Linked DNA regions of Saccharomyces cerevisiae S288C. Changing the gene in region 2 together with the main gene of any one other region gives a genetic interaction. Each region holds a gene or a part of one and is shown on either strand. Other genes may lie near its edges.

Evidence for each region. Genes that interact genetically often act in the same process or in processes that back each other up.
Region 1: mutations in YFH7 (region 2) and YVC1 together harm fitness less than expected from each alone (positive genetic interaction), as found in Saccharomyces cerevisiae (one large-scale study listed by BioGRID).

The regions. Positions count from the first base shown.
Region 1 is NC_001147.6:485,756-490,310, forward strand, and holds YVC1 (Yvc1p), read left to right. Parts: upstream 1-1,951; coding exon 1,952-3,979; downstream 3,980-4,555. Other genes in the region: TCB1 (tricalbin), read right to left, coding at 1-1,024; Rab family GTPase VPS21, read right to left, coding at 4,441-4,555. UniProt on the Saccharomyces cerevisiae protein: Required for release of calcium ions from the vacuole in response to hyperosmotic shock.
Region 2 is NC_001138.5:157,317-160,916, forward strand, and holds YFH7 (Yfh7p), read left to right. Parts: upstream 1-1,982; coding exon 1,983-3,044; downstream 3,045-3,600. Other genes in the region: YFR006W (putative Xaa-Pro dipeptidase), read left to right, coding at 1-436; FAR7 (Far7p), read left to right, coding at 3,219-3,600. UniProt on the Saccharomyces cerevisiae protein: ATP-dependent kinase that could be involved in endoplasmic reticulum membrane assembly.

The DNA.
Region 1 (4,555 bases), on a different chromosome or scaffold from region 2:
TTTCCCAATTGAAGATGGAACGGCCGAATAAGGTAGCAACAAAATCAAAATCAGGAACCTTCAGTAGCTGGATATTAACAGTTTCGACATGAGGGAAGGGAGTCATCAATTTGAATTTCACTCTAGCATGAGCCTTGAAAGCAATGTCTGACACAGAAACAGGGATGGTGATACCAAAAATTTTGGCCTTAACAACCGCTAATTCATTAACGTAATTTCTGACTTGCTTAGCACTCATGTCGCATAAATCGTGAGGAGTAAAAGAAATACCCCAGTCCATCACAACAACATCGGATGCAGTGTTTTGGAAAGTCTTCACCAAATCAACTCTGGGGGGTTTAACACCAAGTGTCAACTCATCGATCCATAGTTGAGTAATAAATTTGGGAATCGCCTCATTAGTAGCCATTTGTTCATTAGCTTGCTGAACGATTAATTGACTAACGGAAGGTTCTAAAATGGGCCAGTACTTATCCAAAAAGGCATTCAACCATTCTAGGGATTCATAGTCGTTTTCCACTTTCTGCACCGTGAACTCTTTCTGGACTAACTCTCTTATGGAACCTCTGTATTTTTTAGCAGAGGTTCTATACAACAATGAAGTGATAACGATGACAAAAAAGGCCGACCCCATTGAAAACTTATAATGACCAAGTGCAAATGATGCCACGCCTCCGATAAAGAAAATGGCTACCGAATGATACCAGTCACCGTAAAGGCTGTCCGGTATGATGTTATCTAAGAAGGTTTCTCTAGTCATATCCATCAATTCATCATCTAAAGTTAATTCGTCTTTGTCTTCCCAGCCACCAATCTGTTTCCAGCCGACATAAGAAGCTTCATGGATACTTCTCTTGAAGCTTTCATCACTAGCATGTGCCGCCTTCTCAGATGACACGCTTTTACTGGATTCGGTTTCCTCTTTCGTCTTTGGAGGTTCTAACTTATCTATCCCATTTATGTTAGCTACTTGGGCTGTTTCGGGCTTCTTTGGTGCTGTTACCCCAGTATCTTCTTTGGCCATATTGTATGTACCACGCAATTGAAGTTTTCAGAATGCACTAGCTATCTTTTTTTATCTTAGCTATTCTTCTTCAATTATCCTACTTATTCTTCAGCAAAAAAAAAATAATAAGCTAAGACAATGCTATACAAGTCAATTACCAGCCAGTAAGTCCAAATTGGAGTAGCCAATGCTATTAGTTGATAATTTTGACGGCCGATTATACTATTCCAATTGCAGCAACATCCCTGTCCCTTAGCTTTTTGAGGGGCCTTTTGTTATAATTTTTCATGCAGCATTCCGGTCGCCAAAGTTGTTATCACTTCTAACGTAAATCGTTTTCTCGTTATGTCCGCTATTTTAGAATGAGAATAATGGATAAAATTGGCCTAAAAAGGGAGCGAGTATAACGTTACTGAGATACAATTGTACATTTTGCCATGGAAATGAGCCAACTAGTCTAATGAGATTTTCAATGCTTTATTTCTTTTTTTAGTTTCTCATTTTATTGTTTCTCTAGTTATTAGTCCTTTGGTTATTTTTATGTCACCACCTCTTGTCACATGACCATTTTTGTTACTTGCTTGGTTTTACAATGATTTATACATTCTTGGGCCTCTCTTGACATATTTTTATCGTCATAATAAGTTCTTCATTCGTTCTCTAAAACAACAAAGTTAGACTCCATGGCCAAGTTGGTTAAGGCGTGCGACTGTTAATCGCAAGATCGTGAGTTCAACCCTCACTGGGGTCGTTAATTTTTTAATTTTTCTCCTACACTGTTGCTATGTCGGAGTTATCTCATAAGAGCTGAAAATATGTGGTAAATTTAGTCAGTATCCTTCGAGGATCAGCTAGAGCCTATTCAATGCAATTGTCATTAATCAGTGGCTTGGTAAGGCAATAGAATTCAGTTATAAAATATAATATTACTAGAACAGGAGCATTATGGTATCAGCCAACGGCGACTTGCACTTGCCAATTTCTAACGAACAGTGCATGCCGGAAAACAATGGATCTCTTGGATTTGAGGCCCCCACTCCGAGACAGATTCTCAGGGTTACGTTAAATTTGAAATACTTAATTGATAAGGTCGTACCTATTGTTTACGATCCCAATGATATTGTTTGTGACCATTCTGAGATTTTATCTCCAAAAGTTGTGAAGCTGGCTTATGAAGCATGTGGCGGGAACCCTAAAGACAAGGCCAACAAAAGAAAATATCAATCTGTCATTATTTTTTCACTTCTTAAAGTTTGTGAGTGGTATTCCATATTGGCCACTATGGAAGTGCACAATGCCAAACTTTACGAAACCAGAAATTTAGCCTCACAACAGTTATGTAAATTGTTAATTGAAAGGGAGGAGACAAGAGACCTGCAGTTTCTTTTCATGCAGTTACTGCTGCGTCGGTACGTAATCAACGAGAACGATGAAGATCAAGAACCGTTGAATGCCTTGGAACTTGCCACAGATATGCACTGTACTACAGTGATAGGATCGAGTGGATTTCAGCGTTGTTTAAAATGGATATGGAGAGGATGGATAGTCCAAAATGGCTTGGATCCCACAACTTTTATCAAGGACGATTCACTGGCGGAAGTGTCATTGATCTCTCATTTCAACCCCGTAAGATTAAAGGCGCCTGTATACCAAAATTATTTGCAGATGATCTTCTCATTTTTGTTTCTAGGGCTTTATACCTTGGTGGTTAATGGTAAGGACTCTGAGAGAGTCCAATCTTTCGATTTGTTAGAAAGCATATTTTATGTTTTCAATACTGGTTTCATCTTGGATGAGCTCACTAAGCTTTATTATATTGGTTATGCGCACCTATCGTTTTGGAATTTATTTAATGATACCACATATTTGATAATCACGTTTGCTATGGGGTTCCGTGCAATGAGCGTAACGCCCCTTAATGCAAAATACTCTTCAGAAGATTGGGATAAAATATCATATAGAGTCTTATCCTGTGCAGCACCATTTGTGTGGTCGAGACTCCTACTATACCTTGAATCACAAAGGTTTATTGGGATTATGTTGGTTATCCTAAAACATATGATGAAAGAATCCATTGTATTTTTCTTCCTTCTATTCTTAATAATGATAGGATTCACTCAAGGTTTCTTAGGTTTGGATTCCGCAGATGGTAAGAGAGATATCACCGGACCCATCCTGGGTAATTTAACAATCACCGTTTTGGGTCTTGGTAGTTTTGATGTTTTCGAAGAATTCGCTCCCCCATATGCGGCAATACTGTATTATGGTTACTATTTTATTGTTTCGGTTATCCTTTTGAATATATTAATTGCTTTGTATTCGACTGCGTACCAAAAAGTTATTGACAATGCAGATGACGAGTACATGGCTTTGATGTCACAAAAGACGTTGAGATACATTAGAGCACCTGATGAAGATGTCTATGTTTCTCCATTGAACTTAATTGAAGTGTTCATGACACCTATCTTTCGTATTCTTCCACCGAAGCGTGCTAAAGATTTGAGCTATACTGTAATGACAATAGTGTACAGCCCATTTTTGTTGCTTATTTCTGTTAAAGAAACTCGGGAGGCTAGAAGGATAAAATATAACAGGATGAAAAGGTTAAACGATGATGCCAATGAATATGATACTCCATGGGATTTGACAGATGGCTACTTGGATGATGATGACGGTTTGTTTTCTGATAACCGAAATTCTGGCATGAGAGCCACCCAGTTAAAGAATTCCCGTTCGCTAAAACTGCAAAGAACAGCAGAGCAGGAAGATGTCCATTTTAAAGTCCCTAAGAAGTGGTATAAAAACGTTAAAAAATGCAGTCCCTCCTTCGAACAGTATGATAACGATGACACTGAAGATGATGCTGGTGAAGATAAAGATGAAGTCAAAGAGCTCACTAAGAAAGTGGAAAACTTGACAGCTGTAATTACCGATCTACTCGAAAAATTAGACATAAAGGATAAGAAAGAGTAAACGACATGTGTTCAAATACTGCTTAATTAATTTCTCAGAAATCCATATATATATATATATATTGCTCCTCATTGCAACTTTGTAAATTTAATGTTCCTTTAATTTATCATTATTTACAATATTAACTAATCCATCTCCCGATTTTCGGCATAAAATAAGTTTATATTTTGGTCTACATGAAAACAAAAGTTTAACTAAACTAACGTGTACAAACCACTTTGAAACGTATATAAAGGTCTAATAAAAACGACTGGCGTTTTGAAAGATAATATAATGATCTAATGCAGTTAAAAAATTTACAAATTATAAGAAGAAAAGAAAAACAACGATTACGGTAAAAAATGAAAACTCCCTCTCCTTTCTAGGTACGATAAATTATGACTTTCATCTTTCCCGTTTTGAAGATCTATTTATCTCAATTTGCCCAGACTTTTTTTTTATATATATTTATTTTCCCCTCTCTAACAACTGCAAGCACTGTTTGCGCTGGTCCCATCATTAGCAGCGTTCAAATCCACTCTTTGATTGTTCGACTCACGTTCGTTACTTGCACTATTTTGCTCTTCAGCCGTCTTC
Region 2 (3,600 bases):
TTCTGAGGACGAAATCTTTAAAAGAAGAGCTTCTTGCGCTTTTTATCCCCATGGACTAGGGCATATGTTGGGGCTTGATGTACACGACGTTGGTGGTAATCCAAACTATGACGACCCAGATCCAATGTTTAGATATTTAAGAATCCGCCGTCCTTTGAAAGAAAATATGGTTATCACTAATGAACCAGGTTGCTACTTTAATCAATTTTTGATCAAAGAATTTTTGGAAAAGCACCCCGAAAGATTGGAAGTTGTCGATATGAGCGTATTGAAAAGATACATGTATGTCGGTGGTGTTAGAATTGAAGATGATATCCTTGTTACCAAAGATGGTTACGAGAACTTAACTGGTATTACTTCTGACCCTGATGAAATTGAAAAAATCGTTCAAAAAGGTTTGAAGAAACCCCGTTCAGGTTTCCACGTAATCGTTTAGGTATTAACTTTTTTTTACTCGCTTCTAGAAGTTTAGTATATTCTTTTGTACACAGAATTGTATATTTTTTTTATAATCTTGGATTCACCATTTAACTAGATTTGGAAATATAAGGAATGGCACTGAAAAAATTAAGGACCAACCCCGAAGAGCAAAAAATGAATGCGAATTCTGTGGATCGAACACAGGACCTCCAGATAACTTGACCGAAGTTTTTTCTTCAGTCTGGCGCTCTCCCAACTGAGCTAAATCCGCTTCTATTTATGAAAAATTCATTGTTACAGGAACTATAGGACTATAATAACTAGCTGCTAACACCTTTAAATGTGACTTTTCTCATAAGGAAATCTAGCGATTCAGAATTCGAGAATTTTGCAGATTGCAAAGTTTTCTTTTTACCATAATATTTGAGAATGTTGTAAAACTTGAGATAATTATTCGGATGTCATTGTTGATTGAAGATAGCATTCCTATGAGTCGCCCTCGAGGACTTGGATCGAAAAATCTACATAATATTAGTAATTACTATTATTGTTGGAATTGGATAAACCGTCGTCCACCTATTTGAGAAATAGGTAATTATTATATGAGTTATTTGGTTCCTTTTTGTTAAAGTAATAATTTGAAATGCCATCCATTTGGTAATATTCATGTTATTGGCATATTATCATATGCGGTTCAGGAAGATGACATAAAAGTTGAGAAACAGTTATCAACCCTAATGGAAGCTGAAATGCAAGATTGATAATGTAATAGCATAATGAAACATATAAAACGGAATGGGGAATAATCGTAATATTATTATGTAGAACTACCGATTCCATTTTGAGGATTCCTACATCCTCGAGGAGACTTCTAGCATATTCTGTGTACATAATATTATGGTCTTGATCAACAATGCAATCCCAACAGTTATCAAATTATTCAGAAAATTGATCACATTTTCGATAAATCTATTATGAAAGTAAAATTTTGACTCATACCTAAGTTCTCGTTATTCGTTAATCTTATGAACTCATTAACCTTGGCGTTTCAGCATCCGCTATGATTACTAGTGCTTAAACCTTGTTATTCATGCCTCATAATTGATGCCATCTTCTAACCTCGAGCGTGATAAAATTTTTGTAATATGAACACCAATCGGCGGAAGATCATCCCAAAGCCACATATGATGGTGCCTTATAACATTAATAACAACTTCAACTGCTGCATACCGATAATATCTTGACGATTATGCATTCGTGTCCTGATAGCTAATGCCATGAAACAATTCTTTTCAATCGCACTTGCACCTTCGTGAAATAGAAGGGTTATCTGGGCTTATCAGACTTGTCCACAGTTTACATATAATTTTTTTTCTGTATTAAATTTTGTGAGCTTTCTTTTTACTCAAACGAACTGTGTTATTTTTCGTTCATTAAATGCGTACCTTTAAGCATCATCAAGTATTGCTCTTCGGGAAAAATGAAGTAACCTTGTTAGGTTAATTTCACTAGTACTATACATATTTTATCCTGTATCATACCAGAGGATCATTCTAGCCACAATGGTCGATACGCATAAACTAGCAGACGACGTTCTTCAGCTATTGGATAACCGTATCGAAGATAATTATAGGGTTTGTGTTATCCTAGTCGGTTCTCCAGGCTCCGGTAAGTCTACTATTGCGGAAGAACTTTGTCAAATTATAAATGAAAAATATCACACATTTTTGTCAGAGCATCCAAATGTTATTGAGGTTAATGATAGGTTGAAACCTATGGTTAACCTAGTAGACTCTTTAAAGACGCTCCAGCCCAATAAAGTAGCTGAAATGATTGAAAATCAGGGGCTGTTTAAAGATCATGTTGAGGATGTTAATTTTCAACCAGTCAAGTACTCAGCCCTTACATCAAATAATGAAGAATGTACCGCAGTAGTTGCCAGAGGTGGTACTGCGAATGCCATAAGAATCGCAGCAGTTGATAATCCAGTCAATGTTAACAAGTTGGCCCAGGATAGTATCAATATAGCGCAAATAGTCCCAATGGATGGTTTTCACTTATCTCGCAGATGTCTAGACCTATTCAAAGACCCACAAACTGCCCATAAAAGAAGAGGTTCGCCCTCAACGTTTGACAGTAACAATTTCTTACAATTGTGTAAAATTCTAGCCAAGACGTCCCTATGTAAGGTCTCCTCACATCATAAATTTTACTCCACTTCAAGCGTTTTTGAGAAGTTATCCAAAACTTTTAGCCAAACAATTCCTGATATCTTTGTTCCAGGATTTAACCATGCACTAAAAGACCCAACTCCAGATCAGTACTGTATTTCCAAATTTACAAGGATAGTTATACTTGAAGGGTTATACCTACTGTATGACCAAGAAAACTGGAAGAAAATTTACAAAACATTAGCTGATACGGGAGCACTTCTTGTTTATAAGATTGACATAGACTATGAGGCCACCGAAGAAAGGGTGGCCAAAAGGCATTTGCAATCAGGGTTAGTCACGACTATTGCAGAAGGACGAGAGAAGTTTCGCAGCAATGATTTGTTGAATGGCAGGGATATAGATAATCATTTAATTAAGGTAGATAATATCGTCCATATCCGCAACGACTAGAAGGTTAGGCGGAACCTTGTATATATTTTTGTAAAATCGAACTGAATACAGATAATTAAGGCGCGCAAGCAAAAACGGCATTCTTTATGAACTCTGCAGAGGTGCCCTTTATTACGACATATATGGGAAGTAATACATATTGATTCTACAAGAAGTTCAAGCCAAGGTTTAGATATGAGTGACCAAATCAACGTTTTGTCAATGCAACAACAACAACAGCAGCAGCAGCAGCAGCAGCAAGTATATATGTCTCCTCAAGCAGAAAACTTGAATCATATGTACTTGTTAGTTAACAAGCTAGTGAAACAGTTGAGGGAAAATCAAGCAGAAAAGGCGAAAATACTAAGGAACATAGACATATTATCCGGAAGCTTAAACAAGTATGAGACATCTGAAGAACCTCACGATACCACGGAAAATATTGCATTATTTAATAGATTTCTAGAACAAAGAGGGAAAGCTCCTATTACTGAGAAAGAGCAACTAAGCAACAATCTGGATGAAAATGCGAAAGATGACGTTATGCTAGGAGTGTTGAAGCGCCAAAATTCAATGC